Linked DNA regions of Lepisosteus oculatus. The protein of the gene in region 1 interacts with the protein of each later gene in a pairwise test. Links are inferred from orthologs where the notes say so. Each region holds a gene or a part of one and is shown in the gene's direction. Other genes may lie near its edges.

Evidence for each region.
Region 2: the proteins of arrestin domain-containing protein 3 (region 1) and nedd4l interact in binary tests that used the Homo sapiens proteins (3 or more experiments, as listed by UniProt). The link is inferred for Lepisosteus oculatus from reciprocal best matches to the Homo sapiens genes ARRDC3 and NEDD4L.

The regions. Positions count from the first base shown.
Region 1 is NC_090698.1:72,935,222-72,945,479, reverse strand, and holds the start of arrestin domain-containing protein 3, read left to right. Parts: upstream 1-5,994; 5' UTR 5,995-6,297; coding exon 6,298-6,577; intron 6,578-9,866; coding exon 9,867-9,948; intron 9,949-10,258. UniProt on the Homo sapiens protein: Adapter protein that plays a role in regulating cell-surface expression of adrenergic receptors and probably also other G protein-coupled receptors.
Region 2 is NC_090698.1:20,484,368-20,494,766, reverse strand, and holds the start of nedd4l (E3 ubiquitin-protein ligase NEDD4-like), read left to right. Parts: upstream 1-5,466; 5' UTR 5,467-5,994; coding exon 5,995-7,089; intron 7,090-10,399. UniProt on the Homo sapiens protein: E3 ubiquitin-protein ligase that mediates the polyubiquitination of lysine and cysteine residues on target proteins and is thereby implicated in the regulation of various signaling pathways including autophagy, innate immunity or DNA repair.

The DNA.
Region 1 (10,258 bases):
TAGTCGCCACATTTTTCCAAAAATATGTTGGAATCAGAACTGAAATAACAACCTGTCTGATATCGTGACAGGTTCAATAAACCCACAATAAAGTTAATAATAAGTTAATCTCATTCATCTCAATCAGAAAAGACTACAAATGTTGCCTGATTCGTGTTTCTTTGACAAAGGACACAAACCAGGGAACCGAGTTGGAAACGAGAGGGAAATGATACGTATAATTCAGGAGAGGAGAGGAGGCTCTTCGCTCCCCCAGAGGGTTGTTTAGTATGCAGCCTGCCCTGTCTGTGTTGCATGAGGAGAAAACACTCCGCAGTCCGGACTACAACTCCTGTGTTCTCACATGCTATAGGCTGTTGTGGCCACCAGGTGTCTCCATCACACCCATTATGTAGTTTGCTGAGCATTTTTCTCTCTGTGCAACAGTTTTCATGAAACACAAGTATAAGTAATCAAAGAACAGGCACAGAAACAAATATAAGCATTCCAATAATTGTATAAACAAATGGCTTGTTTTAGATTCTGTGTTGTTTTATGAATCTAAAATGAGGCTCAATGAACAAATGTAACAAGTTCACCACCAAGGACGTTGCATAATCCAAAATTTCAATTTCATAATCCCGGCTCTGATTTCCTCTTTCTTACACCACAGAAAACGGAATTTAAATGATTTATGTGGACGTTTTAGACGAGCATAGAATTCAACATAGAGACACTTGGAAAACAAGTTTAAAAGTTTTGAAGACCAGTTTGAACATTGTACACTTAGTTAAAGTGTTCGCTGACGGCTGTTTGAAAGCTAATGTGTCTATCAGCAGGTAAAACAACTTGTTGATGGCGCAGGCAGGTAGCCGGATTATGGATTTGGTATTGTTTCCAGGTGTTTTTACATAATGCCCTCTCATTACAAACTCACTTTTTTGTGCAAACAAGAAATCCTGTGAGCACTAGATTGGTAAATCTTCATCATTTACCTGACCCTTTTCTTCTCAGCTTCCTACTCACTCGTAACAATGAGGTTTTTTGACACTAATGCACTCCAAGGTATCTAATTAACTTGGGGTAGTTATACAGCATTCTGGTGCTTAATGGATTTAATCAAAGATACAGACTTCAGAAATAAAGTAAAATATGTAATTTACTTTACTAGGGGTTTAAAAATCAAATACAAAGAGTTCAGGAATTGTGCTTTTTTTCAAGGTGATACTTGCTTATCATTAAAACGTTCACTGACAATCTTTTGATGATTTATGTGAAATATTTAATCAGCACCTAAATGCCAGCAGCTATGTCACCCTGTCACTCCCAGCTGGAAGCCCACTGGAGCTCAGCAGGTGTGAGCCTGGTCAGTACCTGGATGAGAGACTCCTGGGAAAAACTAAGGCTGCTGCTGGAAGAGGTGTTAGTGGGGCCAGCAGGGGGTGCTCACCCTGTGGTCTGTGTGGGTCTTAATGCCCCAGTATACTGATAGGGACATTATAGTTATTATTTACCAGCGGTACACCTCGAGAAAGTATGCCAGAACCATTAAAAGTATACTAAAAGAAAGTATTATGTCTTCTTTATAGCAAACAATTCACAGTTATGTAATGATCACTGGCCATTAGAGATCTGTTACTATAATAATTTTCATAAATAATTTTATATAAAGCCATTATCTTCTTATACTTCTATTTAGCAATTATTCAGCATCCTTCTAGACCTGTTCCTTTACCACTGTCTTACATACTTCTTATTGTTGTTGTTCAGCTGACATTGTATTTTTCCCCAAAGGGATTTACATTCACACAGAGGATGTCTGTCTTCCACAGAGCCCTGCCCACAGCCCCTAACATACCAGCTACCAAACACTCGTCTAGCTGGCCTCGATTTCTGCTTTGGGATCTCCTCCCTACTCTGTGTTGAGCTTGCAGGATTCCAGGGGCACAGTAAGCCTTCCCTCTCTCGCTGCAGCCTTGTGGGATAGGTGTGCACGTTGCCCACAGAGAGCGAGCTCCTGCGTCTCGAGGAGAATCAGCCAAGGAACAGAGAACACAGAAGACTCAGGAGGGCAGCAGACACAAAGGACACAGGGCTGAGAGGTCTGGCCCTCCCTCAGACACTTTGCTGCTCCACAAGAGAGACCAGGGTGGCATCCAGTCTGAGTGGAAAGGCCGTATTCTCTTACTTACACGTTACTGTTGCCCTGGAAGAGGTGTTAGTGGGGGCAGCAGGGGGCCCTCACCCTGTGGTCCATGTGGGTCCTAATGCCCCAGTATAGTGATGGGGACACTATACTGTAAACAGGTGCCGTCCTTCGGATGAGATGTAAAACTGAGGTCCTGACTCTCTGTGGTCTTTAAAATCCCAGGGTGTTTCTCGAAAAGAGTAGGGGTGTAACCCCGGTGTCCTGGCAAAATTTCCCATTGGCCCTTACCAATCATGGCCTCCTAATAATCCCCCTCTATGAATTGGTTACATTACTCTGCTCTCCTCCCCACTGATATCTGATGTGTGGTGAGCCTTCTGGCGCACTATGGCTGCCGTCACATCATCCAGGTGGGGCTGCACACTGGTGGTGGTGGAGGGGATCCCCATTACCTGTAAAGCGCTTTGAGTGGAGTGTCCAGAAAAGCGCTATATAAGTGTAAGCAATTATTATAATTAGTATTATTACTGTAGTAGTTTGTTTTACCCAGTTTCTATTTGAATAATGAAAGCATACACTTTGACTCATCTTCGTGCACTGCATTCTGAACCCTGGTGAAAGGCAAACGTATATAAAGGACCACAAATATAAATTGCGTTTCTAGTCAACAAGTAATCTAACAGGTTTTCAGTTGCTGTTGTTTTAATCACGTTGCTGTTAAAAGAGGCACGAAGACACTGCGTGTCAGAGCCTTTGGGGTGTCCTCACAGTTAGATGCTAAAGGGGGAACCCCCAGTGATCCCGAGGTGAACCCCACTAGCACACAGCCCTGCCATTCAAGACATCTTTATTTTCATTTTTGGAAAATTACACTTTTCTTAGTTTCTCAGACTTGTTCCAGAAGTACAACATTGAAGAAAAATATGACACGACATGGCTGCAGCGAGAGAGACAGTCCGAACAAAGTCAAACCCACAGATGCCCCTGGACAATGTCTTGCACACTTGGCCAACTGGGGATGGACAAACCATTCAATTACAGGACCAGGGCAAGCTGGAGGTGTTAAGGAAGAGGAGATGGGATTTTGTTTTCCTTCAGTTCCCACCTGTTTTCTTACACTGTGTATCTGTGTGCAGAATGTTTATACTTTATTATTGTCTGGGGTGAGCTGGAATGAGCCGAATGCATTTCTAACTCAATCCTATCTCATGAGAGAGAGGGACCTTCGTCTGCACTAAAACAATTAATGATGGCTCAGCAGTAATGATGCTTCAATATTAAACGCGCAGGAACTCTTATAAAAGCCTCAATAGAATCCTTGGTGTGATAAAGGTCTGTACTTTATCACACCAAGGACTGCACCTCCATAGCAGGGGTTTCTGGACTTTCTCACAAAGTGGAAATTAAAATGATGAAAATGAATAAACTCGAGCAGCAGGTATAATTTGACGCACATGGGCGGCCAGTTGTGAGTAGCAGGGTGATATAGCTGCCTGCTACAGGCTACAGGACAGCTAGAATCATTTTAAATAAATGGGACAGCAGTCTCATTAAAACAAGGTTCACATTACAGGACTCGGTCTCCAAGGCTGGCCAGGACAAGGTCCTCTCACATGAGACAGGCTTCAAGGAAGAGAAGGGAGATGTTTTTTTCTCACTGTTTCTTTCCTATCTTCCTTGGTTTCCTCTGGTTTTGATATTCTGTGTTTCTGTGCGCACAATGTTATCCTTTATTATAATTCACCGGAGTAATTCACCAGAAAACCCCCTTCTGATCATCTGTGTTTTTGCTGCCTGTAACCTGATCTACAGCTCTGCAAATATATCAAATTAAACCCATAAAATTTTCTCCATAATGTATGAGATTCAATAAAGATAAAGCCAAACTTTGAGATTATATGTTTGAAACATAAGGTATTCAACGCGATACTTTATCGCTAAGAATGAGTACTCTTTTGAAGTATTTACTCGGAATGGAATTATGACCCCAGATGAACACTAGATGTCGTACTCTCACCGTAGCAAACTACACTGACCCACACTGAGTTTCCTTCTGCTGGTTTACCGGTGTGATTTAACAGAACCCATTCAACAAAGCCGTATCCCGAAGAATTCCATAGAAGACCTACTAGAACAAGTACAAGCATTTTGAAATAAATTGTTATAACAAGACTCAGATATGCATCGCAGAGCTAATGGACCAACTAGCAGCGCCATATTACCTAGCATGCACTGTGCATAGGGCCTATGATAATTTAACGATCACGATATGAAATATAACGATAACGAGCCTAGGATAAAATCGATGTCCACATTTTAAGATATTTCTATAATATAAACTGTAACATAGATATTTTTGAATATATCCCATACACAGCGACGATGGGCCATCTGAAACAAATCATTCAACATAATTTTGATCACGTATCTAATCTGAGACATCAGAACTCCTATAAATACTCCTCCACCTAATCCAGGGACTGTGAAAGAGAAGTGCCCAGCATCTACAAGGTTCTTTCTTAATCCAGCTCTGCAAACGAGTAAAATCCCCAGGACAGTGTGCCACGTGTAGGTGTTCTCCTTCACAGGAGGCGTTAGACGAAGGTCCTATTTGCTCGCTAAAGACCCCTTGTCCGTGAACTTGTCCTTGTCTGTAGGAGCAGAGCTAAATTCCGACTCCGGGTTTGTACTATGTGCCCTCCTTGAAATTCTCATTAATTCACCTGGCGATGTCCTTTCTCCGCTTGCATCCAACACTAGGTGGCGCTGCACTTCACTGCTGGGGGACGTGGATCCTGTCTGTGGAGCATAAAAGGGGAAAAACAACTATTCTTTTGAGAACGTGGCTGCGTCACCATGCGTAGGCTGCAAAGGGACACAGGTAAAGGTCTGTTCCCTGCTGAAAGCTAAAGAAAAGAAGCACAACGTTTTAGCCGTGTTCCTTCGTTTTGCTTTCCCTTTCAGCAAGAACCGAACCAGTATCTGTTCCGAAATATTGTTAGACCTGAGACAGGCTAGTATCCACTGCTTCGAAATGTACCAAATTGATTTTAACAACAAAATGGCATTACAATACTTAGGCTTCGCAATCAAACACTAACTACAGTAACTAAAAACCGTCATCTGTGATGCAACTGCTCAACACTGCAGCTCTGTGAACGTTTCTATAACAGCTTTGCGTGCAACAGGTACACAACAGGCACAAGTGCTTTGCGCACTTTTATTTGCCACAAGGTGGCGCTGCATAGCGCTTTCCCTGCTGCTGCTTCCTGACGAACCGGCGAGCAGCGCCGTGTAGTTTTCCCTCACAGTGCGGCGGCAGAAACTGCTGATCGGGAGAAAGCTGCAGTGGATTTAAAAAGTATGAAAGTCAGAGATGTTGTATTTATGTGGAGCGGACGATTTAATACGCTTAAGAAAAAAAAACGATCTGATGTTTTAAACTCCATTAGTTTGCTCCAAACTGTGCATCCAAACAATGCTGCAATAGGTCACGCATCGCCGCTCCGCTGCGAACTCGCAGCGTTCACGCCACACAGCTAAACAGACAGGCAGCTCTGCGAAAGGGCTGATCGCGGTGTTGCTGTTGTTTGTTTGTTTGTTTGTGTGTTTAACCGGGTGTTGCATGTCTAAAAACCAGGGCTCGGCCAGGCGCGAGCCGCCGGCGCGGGGCGCGCACGCGGGCTGGCCGGGCGGCTCGCGATCAGCTGTTCCAGTCAGCTGGCGCGGGGCCAGGTGTCAGCGGAGCCACGCCCCCTCGCTCGCGGGAGGCGGAAGGAGCTGGGAAGGAGGGATGGGAGGGGGAGCGCGGCGCATGCGCGGTGGGGTTGTTTTTCACCAAATCCTCGCTTTTAAGTGAGGGGAACCGGAGCAGCAGCTCGTCTTTGTACAGAGACCACGGAGAGGAGGAGGTGCGCGATAACAGCATCGAGTGCTGTTATTTAGCCTACCAGCATCTCAATGAACGGCTGGCGAGGGAAGCACTGATCCTGCCTGCAGCTCTTGCACGGCAAAGGCGTCGATCAGTGTGTTTGTTTGTTTGTGTGTGTGTGTGCGTGCTTTGCTACGATCACTTTTTTTTTTAATTTGGTCGTGGCTGTCTGCTCAGACCTTATTTTTTTTATGTGTTCTTAACAAAAAAAACAAAACAAAAAAAAAAACCCGAAACCATGGTGCTAGGCAAGGTGAAGAGTTTCACAGTCAGCTACGACTGCCTGAATGACAGCGCCGTGGCCGTGTTCTCCAGCGGGGACTCGGTCTCGGGGAGAGTCGTCATTGAAGTCACCGGGGAGATCCGGGTCAAGTCCCTGAAAATCCACGCGAAAGGATTTGCAAAAGTTCGCTGGACCGAGTCGAGGAACGCCGGGTCCAACACGGCGTACACGCAGAACTACACCGAGGAAGTGGAGTACTTGAACCACAGGGACATCCTGATCGGACACGAGAGAGGTAAGGGGGAACGCGCCGCTTCTGCCTTTTCTTTTTAAGGACTCTGGGGGGTGGAAATGTCACGTTTCCGTGAGCTGCCCTGTCCTCTGAAGACCGTGATCCCGGGGCTGTCATGGTAGTTGCACCGAAATTCTGCCCTTGGCTAGAGAGAGACGCTCGGCTGAATGCCCCCCATATCCCAGTAGTTCATTCATTCCGGCCCCAGGAGTGCAAGATCGATTTGCACGTCCTCCTTCGTCGAATATTGTGTGTAAAATGAGCGTCTCCCCTCTCCCTCAAGTGAGCGTTGGAGGTCCTGGACCTCTCGAGTGGGTTAGCGAACTTCTCGAGTGGGCTGCAGGTTAGGTCAGGCAAGGCAGTGTGAGTGAAAAGAGAAACCGAATCGCCTCCACGGAGCTCTGAATACACTAGGTAGTTTTGCCAGTCGGGGTCCGGTTTTTAAAATGCAGTCGCTGTTAATACTGACAGGAAATATCTGAAGGAATTTCAGGCTGGGATGTGTAGTTGGAAGAAGATGCCCGTTCATCTTTCGGACAGTGAGAGGTTGCGAGTACTTCACACACCACGAAAGACAATTAACTGCTTACTTGTCGTTGTTTTTTTTTAATGTACTGTGTGTGTATATATAGATTTTTTTTTTTTAAAAGTAGTTCATTTTAGACCAGAACTCGTGTCGACTCTCGGGACAGCAGGAGTCAATGCGGTAAACGTGAAATTTGGTAAAAAGAAATTAGAAACGGCTCACGGCGCCGCGTCCTTGGACGTATGCGGGAACCCGGGGTTATGCCCGGGCTCTTTGGGTTTTAAATCTTTGTTACATTTGGCTTTTTTTCCCCCAAAAAAGATGATTTCCTTAAGTTTCCACCCTTTGTTAAAAGCGGTTCAATCCTGTTCAGAAACTGGTTGCTGGGGAGGAGGGGGGGGGCAGCGGGCTCTGCCGTTCTCGCCCCCCGATTGGCTGGGCGCGGTCACGTGTGCGGCGATGACCTCATGCCTTTGCAGGGCTGAGCGAGCGCATCCCCACCTGTCTTTTCCTGGCGCACGTCTGGGTTCAGCTCCCATTCCCCAACCCCCGGTTCCTCCACGGCTGCCCCAGGAGTCGACCCCCGGTTTGCGCTCTCTTGTATGCCGGAGGCGGAAGGGGGGCCGGGGGACGGAGATTTCCCCATCGGCAGTTTAAGGGGCGCAGGCAGTGCCAGTCGTTGAATCGCAGTTTCTGGGAACTTGCGAGCACGCAGACCCCCGGAGTTGGAGCCAGGCTCCTGGCGGTCCGGTGGTCTGTGTCGTTTTAATCCGCAGCGGCATGGGCGACAAAAACTAAACTCCCTTAAGCGCCGTCTCCATTTCTAAAACACACAAATTAAACACACGACACTTTGGCTATTTCCTCTGGAAGGGCAGCTGTAGCGGTTGGCGAACCGCCGCGCGTACACACTTTGATTTTTGTATGTTTATTTTATTTATTTTGCTGTGTTTACACCGCCGTCGCGGTGCGCAGAAAGCTCAGAAAGTTTTCGGCAGGTTTGGACACTTGGGGTTGGTGCGCTCGGGCCGGCTGGGCTGGCCCCGCCCCCGCCGGGCGCCCATTGGCCGAGCCGGGTTTGTTAGTCCTGTTGCCAAGGCAGTGCTGGAGCCTGATTGGACTAGAAGTTATCAGCTGCGCGGCGGACTGACACGTGATTTCCATGCTTGTTCCGACCAGACTCTTCTACAGCCGGGTCTGGTCGCTTTTCTCACCCTTTTCTAAACTGTAATGCGCTTCAGTCCGGAGGACAGGCACCGGACAAGCCTGTTCCAGCTCTTTCTTTTGGGATGTGACTGTACTTATTGTGTGTTTTGTACACTGATGTAAGACGCGAAACGCTTATGTTGTGGGAGCAGCACCGCAGTGGTGCCCCTTCCTGGCATGTATCTCATCTGTATGATCTCAATGTGAACCTTGGTTGGTTGTTTTTTTGTATATTTATACCTTTCTGCTGCTTTAGGGGAAGAAAAAAGCTGTCTCCCCCCCCCTTGTGTAAAAAAAACAAACAAACCCGCCGCTAACAAAATAAAAGCGAGATGAATTCTAACTTGTTCCGCCTCCTGCGTCTTTATTTGCTATTGTGCATTTTCTCTGTGGTGTGGTGTGTGTGTGGGGGGGGGGAGGTCTCTTGATTTTCTCACCTGGAGGGGTCTGTTACGGAGGCCGGCCGGGCGCTGGGGCGGCTGCAGTGCGCGGGGCGGCTCGGCAGGGGGCGCCGCGAGGGAGCGAGCAGCTTCGGTTTCTGCAGTGCGTGCGTGCGGGGGAGCTGCTCGCGCCGGTTTAGGCCGGTCCTCTCCTGCTCGAGTCTGTCTGTGATTGACAGCTCAGCACTTGTTTACCAGGACCGAGCTGCTGCTGCTGAGGCAGGGGCAGAGCGCTGGCGCTGAGCTGGCAGAATTGTAACTTTGGGGGAGAGGCGCCCGGTGTGTGTGTGTGTGTCTCTCACAAGCTGTGCATGCGTGCGTTTTAAAACGCAATTTAAAAAAAAAACCCGATAAAGCAATTGTTGGGAGTTGTCAAACTGTGCCAAACGCAAAAATGAGACGAAAGCAAAAACTAGTCTGTCTCTTGTTTTCGCGCAATCCTCTGAAATGGAAGAAGGGCAGTGGGTCTCCTTCAAGGAAGGGAGTTTGTTACAAATGCCACAACCCCCCCACCTCTTTCCCAGGCCGTGTCCGAATGAGCGGGCGCTCTGGTGGGGAGAGCACTGCGATGGGTCCTTTGTAGCGCCTCAGGAGTGTGTGTTGGGGGGTCGTTTGAAAGTGGTGTGTGAGCACTGACGGGGAGAGGGAATGCTGATGTTTTTCAGGAGGAGAATAAGGGGGAATTTGTTTGCCATGACTAGCCCCCTATCGCCTTTTCTTCATGCTCATGGGCGCGGGAGTGGAGCTGCTCTGCCTATGAGGGTGTTTATTGGAGACTAATAGAGATTCATTACCTTTGTTCTAGGAAACTGGTTTCAATGCAAATACACATCGAACCTTTTTTATGAGACTTGACTTCCTGTTTTTTTTATCTACATTTATAAATGTTTAACATATCCGGTTTCCAGAATTAATTGTGACCTGTGTAATTTTTATCCGTCTTTTGTTTCTGTTTTTTTGCAGTGATGTTTTAAAATGTTTCAATTCTGGTATTTTTCCTTACCTAGAAATGTGTTTTGAACTGTTTTTTATTTTTTTTTAATTTCCATACAGCGACCCTCATATCTGTTTCACAGGTATGGTATACGTGTATTTGGAATTTTGTTTTCCTTTGTTTCAGATGAGGACAACTCTGAAGAAAGTCTCACCACTATCCATTCAGGAAGACACGAGTATGCATTCAGCCTTGAGCTTCCACAAACGTGAGTCTACTTGAAAGATGTTTATTTGCTCTCCCAGACTTCATAGATTTTGAAGCTGTCAGTCTTTGTCTTCTGGAATAAAATAAAAACAAAGTTAGCCACCTAATGCAACTCTGAAACTTCCCAGTAAGAATATAAAACCGTTTCAGATGAGAGGAGGTCATGTGGCCTATGAGAGCAATGTGGTTAACTGTTTAATCAGTCCAGGGGTCTCATCCATCTGTTTCCTGAAAGAATCCTTCAGACTAAAGAGACTCAGTTCCTCCGGCCTGTCAGTTTTGGACACTCCCTTCAGACTAAAGAGACTCAG
Region 2 (10,399 bases), about 52 Mb from region 1:
AAACACCTAATGGAGGAATACAAATGATTCCAAAGGGTTCACCCTCTGTTTGTTGATAGTAGGACCTCTGATAGTAGCAGAGAGAATGTGTTGGTTGACACTGCTTTCTTGTTAATTCTTTGAATTTATTATATTTGTACTGAATATTGTTTTTTATGGATCCATGGTCGACTTTGATATCACTAACGCAATTGCATAGGTTGGTTGCTTACATCACTAAGAGTGTGTTACAGATTTGGTCAGTGAAGTTCTTGTATTAGTGTAAAGTATGTCCTTGATACTTCTTCCCATTAAATATCTCTTTGAACTTTTAGTAGAGAGGTTTTCTTCTGGTGTCCATGTTAAGTTCTACTTTTCTCTTGCTTAGTTTGGCTTAATTATAATTTGCTCCTTTAATCAGCATTAATTTATTCCATCTCTGCGGGATCAGTTCTGTAGTGGGGCAGACGCTGCAGAGTTGGACTTCCATCACTCAGGTGCATGCTGCACGTCAGTGTTAGATAATGTTGGTCATACCCAGGTATATGTGATCCTCAGAAACTCTTCCAAATACCAGGAATAATATCCCTCACCCTTTGAAAGAGTGTGCCAGACAGGAATATATTTTCCACTAAATCGTCATCTTACACATTACATTAAAAAGACCTTTGGTGAGAAGAAATCAAGGTCATTATGAGATAATGAATGAAATTTAAAAAATGTGTGGAGACCATAAAACTGCAATAATGTATTTATTCTCTCTAATGCTACAGGTTAGCCCGCACAACCACAGGCTCCTCTTCGAGGTGTTTGATGAAAACAGGCTGGTAAGTTTTGTTTTGCATATAAAAGTTTGTGTAGAACTGCATGAAGATCACGGGCAGTATTTTCACCTACTGTACAATTCTACAGTGATGACAGCAATAAATGTTTTATTTACTGCAGTATATGTATTGCAGTCCACCCCATTATCACTTCCCTGAGCTCAAATGACAAGAAATATTGCTGCAATTGCCATAGAGATGGTAGAATATTTTATTGGTTCATAAATGTTTTTCTAGGGCAGATCTTGGGTGCTGGTTCAGATCCGGACCTGGTGCTATCTGCGTGAGCTTGTACAGTGTGTTCTCCCTGTGTTCGCATGGGCTTTTGCCAGGTGCTCCGGTTTCCTCCCACAGTGCAAAGACACACTTGTACTGTAGGTTAATTGGCTTCTTCTGGGAAAACTGGCCCAATTGTGATTGTGTGTGAGTCCAGGATGTACAGTATTCTGCCTTGCGCCCTTTGCATGCCAGGATAAACTCCGGCCCATCCTGCAAGCCTGTATTGGCTGAAGCGGTTAAAAGATGGATGGAAAAAGAAGAATAAAACTATTTCCTCATTGAGACAAAATGGAAGCAGGGCCTACAGTATATCAATATTGTAGGTGCCATGTTTCTGAGATATATAAGTACTTTTTTATCATAAATGTAATGTACCTGCTGGTTTAGCAAAATAATCTGGACAACTGTAAGCTTATTTAGAACTTATTTAGAAGTCATTAAAAAAAATAAAGTAACAAAAGGGGAGCTTGTCAAAAGGGGGCTAATTAAATTTTAAAGGCTGAGAAAAACAATATATTTTAATTTTGCCTGAGGTCTTTATTAGCAGTACTTTATAAATCAGTTTTTTTCTCAATTTTGTGTGATTTTATTTATATTTTATTTTATTTACATCAAATGTTTAAGCTAATTGCTTTTATTTTACACTTTCTGAAGTATCATCTTAATGTTAAACATATTAGTGATGTTACCATTAGAATCTTCATTTCATGTTAATTTTCAAATAGTGTACCAAGATGCAAGTTGGTATCACTGTAAATAATAACCTGTTATCCTATAATCATTCATATTTTCTTAATATTCTGATTGATTTTTTTTTTCAATTCGTTAATAGAGCAATTATTTCTAGTAAGTAACCTCACAATTCACCTTCTAAAATACTATTTCAGGAAAAAGCCCAATAACACCACACAAGCTTTCTTGACATTTATTATTTTTATCTTCCTTAAATGCGTTATGTGTTTTGATAATGACTAATTGATACATTAATGTTTAGGTTGGTTGTTGTAAATAGTTTCTTTTCCTCTTGATACGGAAGGGTTTGCATGGTATCCTACACACAATTACCTTGTTTTTTCCTTTGCAGAGTTCCCTTTTCATGTATTAACTTTGCAGATCTTTTCTATTTAATTTGTACTGCAATTTTGACTCATTCCTTAAAAAATGTTGTTGAAGGGACAGACTGATGTGATAACACAGAAGAGATGTGAATTTTAAACTAGCTATTAGACAAAAGCTGTTTCTAATTTTTTCTAGCTTTTTTTTCATGGTAACTTTCATTTTCACTTCATTGGAATACTGTATAGCTGCCTCGCTTATTTATGTTTTTTTATGTAAATTTCAGATTTTATAGTTTACAATGTAGTTTGATGAGTGTCATGAGAAAGGCCTTGTATGTTCGAGATTGGCTCCATTATTACACAACGGCCCTGATCTGGTGTTAATGATCTGAAAGCTAGTGAGACAGTTGCCTTCTATTCTCCTGGTGCCAGGATGGAGTTAAAGCTGTTTAGAAGTAGTGTTTAGTTTCTTTCGCCATCCAACCTGTGTCAAGTTTGATTTAACGCCTTCCATTTTGGAAACCTAAAAAAACAGAGGAAAGTTCTGTTAATTAAAAGATAATATAAGCATTTCAACCTCTTTTTAATTACCCAACATATTATTCCTTAAGTCTTGCAAAGCTTGTCAGGATAAATATGTGTACGTGATAACCTATTCTAGCACACTCTAAAAATAAAGCTTACAAAAGCCTCTGCTAGTGTAATTCCTTATCCTAAGACATGCGAGGTTTCAGGTAGTCTTCAAACACTAGGACTGTTTAATAAACAGGAAAGTATATTTGAAATAGGTATTTCACCCAAATTGACCATTAGAAAAAACATTCTCGTCTCTTTGTTGTTGTATCCTCAAGTTACAGGATGAAAGACTGTATGGTTGCCAAAACACTGGCTATTCTCTACAGAAATATGTGGAAACTGATTTTAATGCCTATGTGATTTTAAATCAAAGATGTTGTACAGTGAAAAAAGTAGTTTTATAAAGGATGTCTGTATAGATTTATGCATTTCACGTTCTTTATTGATAGAAGTTGGTTGTGCAGATTGATAATTGATTGTGACTCGATCGTCAACACACTGGGATATGCTGAAGTCGGGCAAGAGAAACATTTAGGATCAGGAATCTTGGAGTGCCTTGATTTTACACCACAGCATATATTCTTATAAAACTTACCTTTTATAAATACAAGTTAATCACTTCATGCTTGTATTATATTGTTTTATGATATACCATTGTGGGATTTGGGGATTGATTAGTTGTCCTCAATTAAAATGGCCCAAAAATTATTAATCAGTTACTTGTTAACTTAAACAGCTACAGTATGTCATGTGATAAATCCCAAAAAGTTTATTTTAATTATAATATTAAAGATTCATAAGGTTGTTGGACTTCAATTATATTATTAAATATATTGCATTTGTAGAAATGGACAGAACATAAGAAAATAAGAACGTTTATACATAAGAGGCCATTCCCTAAGCTCATTCGCTCTGTTACTAGATAAATGATCCAAAGATCTCATCCTCTTGAAAGAAGCCAAGGTATTAACTTCAGTAACATAAAGTATCTGGGTAGCATGTTCCTGATTTGGTCCACAAACCTTTTTCTACAAAAAATGCCTCCTGTTCCCTGTAGTTTTGATCTGTTTCTACAGGTTCATGTTTCCATTTCAATTCTGTAAACCTCCATTGGGTTGAATTTGTCTTTTCCTTTGAGAATTTTGAACAGTTGAATCCTTTCCATTTGTTGTCTTCTTTGTCCAGATTCCTTATATATTAAGAAGACAACGGAAAATGGGATAATTGTTTAATGACAACTAATTACTTTGCTTTGCACACAAAATTGACGCCTAATGTCTCAGTGACTACTGTAAGTTACAGGCACACAGACAATGAGAGGAAAAATGATTAGAATACTCCAGCACACTGTTAAACCAAATACTGGGTTAACATTTTTTTAGTTCTGGTGCTACACCCTCTTTTTTAACAACTTTGAAAATGAGGCTTCTTGCTTATTTGTAAAAAAAGGAAAAGAGTAATAAACAAATTTGTACTGTAAGTAAAATCACATTAAAATGAAGACAAAAAGATTTTATTTCTGCAGGCTGCAAGCACCTGTATCCCTGAACTTTGTGCAGGTGCATGTTCATATGCTCTAAACTGCACTGACATGAACACAAAACAACATATTCAGTTGCACTGCTTACACAATGTTCCTTTTTATTCCATAAACTAACTGCTGACTTGCTAGCAACAACCTTTCGCGTTCTCTAAACAATCCATTCTGAGAGCTCCCATTAGAATGAATAACTGCATTCTTTCATTATGAGTTCTTCACGACACACCATAAGACGTTAGGCTGTCATCAACTCACTGTATTGTATTTTGCAAAGAAAGTCTTATACGCTAGGGTAACAGGCTATCTCAGCTGCTAATATACTGGCACTAAAAAAAAAGCTATCCTAATGATTGTCAGCTTTAAAAGACCAGATTGGAATCCTTTTAATTTCTAATGCAGCATTAATGATTTCTTGAAAAGTAATCACTCCTACAGTATAAGCCTATGCATTATAAAATTCTGGAAAGTAATTAATGTTTATGAGTTTGTGACCCATTTATTTTTATAATCCAAATTGGCACTCACCCTCTGTATTTTTTGATTGTTGACTGTACAAGTCCATACATCTACTCCCTGTTACTAGAATGTGAAACTTAATAATATAACTTTTTTAGAAACAAAATATAGTTGTAATACTATATTGTTGTTACAATGAATTCTGGCAAATATGTTACCAGATTGTGATCTGGTCATCTCAGATTTCACATTTCCTTTTTCAGAAAAAAAGTCTGTGTAAATTAGAAATGTTTTTGAAAACTCATTTTGTTTCTTTTTGTTTTATTTCATATAAAAGAATTGACTGAGATGTATTCATTTCAGTCTCGTACAATATGCCACATTTATTTCTGCCTGTAGATTAAAGCAACATATTGTAAAGTGCTGTACATATATGGCTGGTTAAAAGAAAATATCTTTCCTCAACTGTACATTTTGATGGTAAAAGGGAATATGTTTGTATTTTAAAGGCACTTTATTATTAGTTGTATTTTATTTATGTTTCACATCTGGGTTTATACTATATTTTAGTTTTGAATAGTTTTTAAGCTAATGATAATTGTACTGATGTCAAAAAGTGAACTTAAATTGAATTCCAAGATTGTGATATAAATGTTTTTTTTTTCTCTTAAACATTGAAGAAATGGTTACAGTTAGTACAATTTTACAATACTAGAACTCTACTGGTGTTTAAATCCCAGATACCACAGAAAAGCATGGTCCAGAACCCATCCAACGTCCCCTGCTTGTAGGATGTGGTTTTAAGATTTATAGCTGTGTTGAATTTGTGTTGCCTTACTCAGCTGTGAGCGCTCTCTCTCCCACTGGGGCCCTCTCCTTTCTGATGGATAAGGAGCAGCTGAGAAGGTGCTGTTTCAGTCTGGGACTGTTTAAAACCAGAGATGTACTGGCAAGTATTGGTGAGGGGAACTGCATCACGTGACCACAGCCATCCTACCCCATGTCACAGTGTGTAGGAGCGCCGAGTGCCCTTATCCAATCATGCCTGGAATGCTGCTTGTCACTTGGGCTATTTCTGCTATCTGTCGCTATCAGCCTGCAGTGCTAACAGTTTGGCAGATGGGACACTTTTTTTTTTTCCTCTGGAGTTTGCAGCTTTGAGTTTTTAACTCCCTGGCAGTGCCTCTCTTGTTATTGTGGCGTGAACTCCTTCTGCTTTGCTCCCTTCACTGAGGGAAGAGAGAGAGAAACTGAATCAGACAAAGGGAGAGAGAGGCTCAACATGGCCCACCGACTGAGGCTTTACTTTGGCTCCGGGCGTAGCAACACAGCCCCTGAGATGGAGGAGCTGGAGGGGGCAACAGAAGACGACATTGCCATGACATTCCACACACTGCCTCGCAGGAGAGGCTTACCTCTTTTCTCCGATCCTGAAAGCTCCTTGTCCGGAGAAACCTTCCTGAAACGTAGCTCCTCTATGTTCATCCCTCAGCTTTCAAACCCGATAGATCCTCGGCCCACAAAAAGCTCATCAATGCAGATCTCCTTGCAGCGCATCCCTGGAAATGGAGAAGAAGAAGAGTCTCCTACTCCTAGTCCCGAGTCTTTCCTGGGCCCAGCTCCAGCCTACAGGGAGCCCAACAGGAAATATTCCTTGCCTACAGACATGCCCAGAAACAATGAAGCTTCACCATGGACTCCAGCATTTGGGAACCTGTCTGGTGATCCCAGTTCACGCAATCGTAGGGTGTTTTGTATGTTGCCTGAAGAATGCCAAAATGGCCACAGCAGTCCAGGAGTGATGAATGAAGATCTACCCAGTGGAATTAATTTTGGTGGTTTCTGCATTCAGAGGAATTCTACTGGGGGCTCAGAGTTTCAAATGCTGCCTTGTGGAGCCCAGGGGCAGAATGGTCCCCACCGCCGCTGGTCTGTCCACCAGGATTCTAATGGCACCCTGGGCAAGCAACGTTTCATAGTTCAGCTCCAGCCAAATCAAGCTGGCATCCCCAAGGGCTCGCGGACAGAGGGGGCAGATCTGGGGTTCACGGGCACCAAGGGAGAGCGGGTGGTGAGGTATCCCCGAATAAGACTGGAGAGGAGCACCTCGCAACCGGTGCAGCCCAGAGCTGTCACCCCACTACTTCAGAGTAGTGCTGGAGATGGGCAGGACACTCCAGGAAGAAACCAGGACCCTGAGGGCCAGAGTAGGAATGTGGATGATGCTTTGCAAGGTTGCACCTTTAAAATCAGACAGGAACAAAACAACAGGCAGCCCCAGTTTAAGATCTATTTTACCCGAGGAGGAGAAGAGCAGAATCAGAGTTCACCACAGGATATAAACTCTGGAAATAGGCAAACAAGGATTAGCTCCCAGGTAATGTGCTGTGCTGTGTGCTACTACTGTATATAATTTAGTATTGTTAATTTTACTGTTATTGGTACTGATTATATTGTTTGCATTTATACTGATAAATATAAGTTGAAACAGCTGTTCCTGCTGGCAGGAATTTCATTAGGAAAAATGGGTAGGTTTTAAGATTAACTAACAACCTTCTTCTGGAAAGTGCATCCACTGTTTATCTATACCTTGCAAATGAAAAACCGAAGGGTTAGAAGAAGCAGCTTTCAGAGCTTGGAAATGAGAGTGGATTTATTCTAGAAATTGCTTTAGGAGAGAAGCCTGTGAGTAAGGCAGACTGACCTTTATTACTCCCCCGGAGGACTTTAAACGTTTACGTACATAAATGTTTTTTCACTTAAGAAAAATGTAAAATCCATAGGTATGTACAGTATTTGAGTGTATGAGCATTCATCCATCCTTTTCAGTCTATTTTTACAAGTGAGTTTCATGGCCTGTATGAACAGAGACTTATAACAAACAATATTTATAGTTATGCATGATTTATTGGTTACTAGATAGAAATTTTTAAGCATTTAGATAAGTATATGAACAAATAAGTATTGCTTTTGCATTTCACTCTGGTTCTATTTTTTAAATTATTTTGTTGTTGTTGTTGTTGTTTTCTGAGACTGCCAGAGTTTCCTGGCTGGACTTAGTCTAATTAATTGTTACGGGTAGGGTCATTAGCGTATGAGCTGTAGGGTTACGTTACATCCGACAAGACTGTTTTTAAAAGCCATTTCTTTTAAAGGGGCCATCTTCATATTTTTACAGTATCTCTGTAATCTTTTTGTGATAAAAACTACTTTCTGAAGGAAGTTACGCTCTATTACAAATGACCACGTTTTTTAGTAAGTCATATAATAGCTCTATATGCATGTATTAAATCTATTAACAGCTAATCAGTCTTAAAAAATAAGAGTTCTGTAAAATCCTTAATCCGCATCATTCAAAGTCATTGGATCCTTAATGGAGAAAATGTTAGTGAAGTGCAAGCACTCTCTTCGCCCTAACTGTCCATAGGATTCACTGTTACAATGAAATGAAATAAAAATGTGAAAGAACCTCAGTGTTTCTGTGGTTCTCCTGCAGTATCATATCTCTAGATTAAAAAGACCATTTTTTCTGCTGCATATAACACAGTTAAAACTATTAAGTTGCTATATTGAAACACTAACCTTTTTTATTAAACAAATATTCACTGTACATTAATAACATTGCAGAATCTATCCAGCATATCATCTGTGTCATGGTGGCGCCCGTAATGGTAATTAATTTCATGATTTTTTCTTAGAGATGGACAATTATTGACAAAGCTGAAGCTTAGCATCTGTGCGCTCATATTGCTCCTACAAATACTGTAGCTGGCAAAATACCTTTTGTTAATGTGCTATTTTAATTTTGTTGTTAACATCCATTTCATTATATAATGGGCTTTGTAACATTTTGAAAAAGTGACAGAAAGAAATGAGGAATATAGATTGCTTTGTTAGCTTAAGCATTATCAGTAATTAGATCTGGAGCACTAAGAGTCCCCCCTTTCTCTCATAACTGAAACGGGACATACAGTACAGTAACTGAAACAAAGATTTCTAAAGTGGTCTGCCTCCCTTTTTCACAAGTCTATAAAAACCATGTGGAGTATGGACATTTCAGTACCTTTTAAAGGATATTACTGGCGTGAAAACAAGAACAAGTCAAGTAGACTCCAACATACAGTTTGGAAGAAGTTTTATTATAGTGAAGCTTAACACGCACAGGATATAATACTTGGTTAATAAGACATACATTATAGGTTACATAAATGTACAGTATGAGCTACTAAAGAAGCCGAAATGACATTCCATCAGTGAAGTTTGTTATACCTTTAAATGCAGCCTTTTTAATAATTCATTTAAAACTGATTTGTTGACATGCAGCTCCATGAATAGAACATACTTAAATGTAGACATTTTAATGAGACACTTTTTCCCTCTTATAAAAACTGTTGTCTGCAATAATCCTAGTTCTATTAATTAATTGCTTTTCAGTTCTCTGTAATTATTAACATGGCCTTAGTAGCATCCCTAGGAAGAATTTTTTTCATTTTATTTTCAGATTTGTTTAAATATGTGGATGTGATTTCTTGCTCAGAATTTTCTATAAATATTTAAGGTGCAGTGGCCTCCATCATCTACAATTAAAAACAAACCTTGGGGATCAACATAAGTTATAATATTCTTATGAATAATGCCATAATTTCAGTTGGACACTGGCAGCTTTTACTATCATAAACAAAGATAATAGGGATTGTATTTATTAGAATCTAAGCACAGACCTTCCTGAATTATTCATAGCTGTATTTATGCAGGGTTCTTTACCACTGGAATTTCTTAGGGGTCACTACTGACAATTACTGCATTTGGATGCAGGACAGTTTTTTCCCCAAGCTTCATCCATGAGATGTGTGACTGACAGAGATGGGGTAAAAGAATAAATGAGCATGCTTACCTCAGATCTATAGTGTCAATTGCAGTGTTACAGAGTGTCTATATATACAGTACAGTAGCTACAATATTGTGTCAGTTACACATTTTGCTTGCAGAAATCTTTTTAGTGATGACTTCTCTACTAGATCTGTGTAAAATGTATTTTGCCTGGTTTATGTTTCCTTAATTATAGTTGAATCTTTCTTAAAGTATTTAAGCTAATGATTAAGGTTCTGCCTACAATAACCTAAGTGTCTCTTCTTAATTATGTTCAGTCATATGTACTTCTTGGATTCACAAATCCATCTGCTGCTAGCTGGGAAAAATTGTTCTGCTTGAAGTAATATTTCTTGCGATCATATACAGTAAATGACTGGACAGTGTTTTCAGTCATTTAGTACTAAGCATGACCAGGAATATACTAGATTTCAAATCTAGAAGGAAAAAAACACTTATCTAGTCTTTGTACAACTATGTAGGTAATGGCTTGAGTTGCCTTAAGTGAATCATTAATAGATATACAGTACACTGTTTATGCATTGCTAATATGGTGATCACAGTATTTAAAAAGATATATTTTATCTGCAGACATGCATGCACTCAAATGACTATGGAACATCTGAGGTCAGGATTTCCAGTTTGTTTTAAATGATGGTGGTTTTTGAGGTCCCAGTTGGGTCAACCAGTGAAGACATTTGCTCAGGAGTCGGGGTTTATCCTATAGTTCAAACATTCTTGGTTTGATCCTAGACTATGTCATCAGCAGACCGTGACTGGGATTTCCTCAGCAGCTGCGCACAATTGGACACATGCTG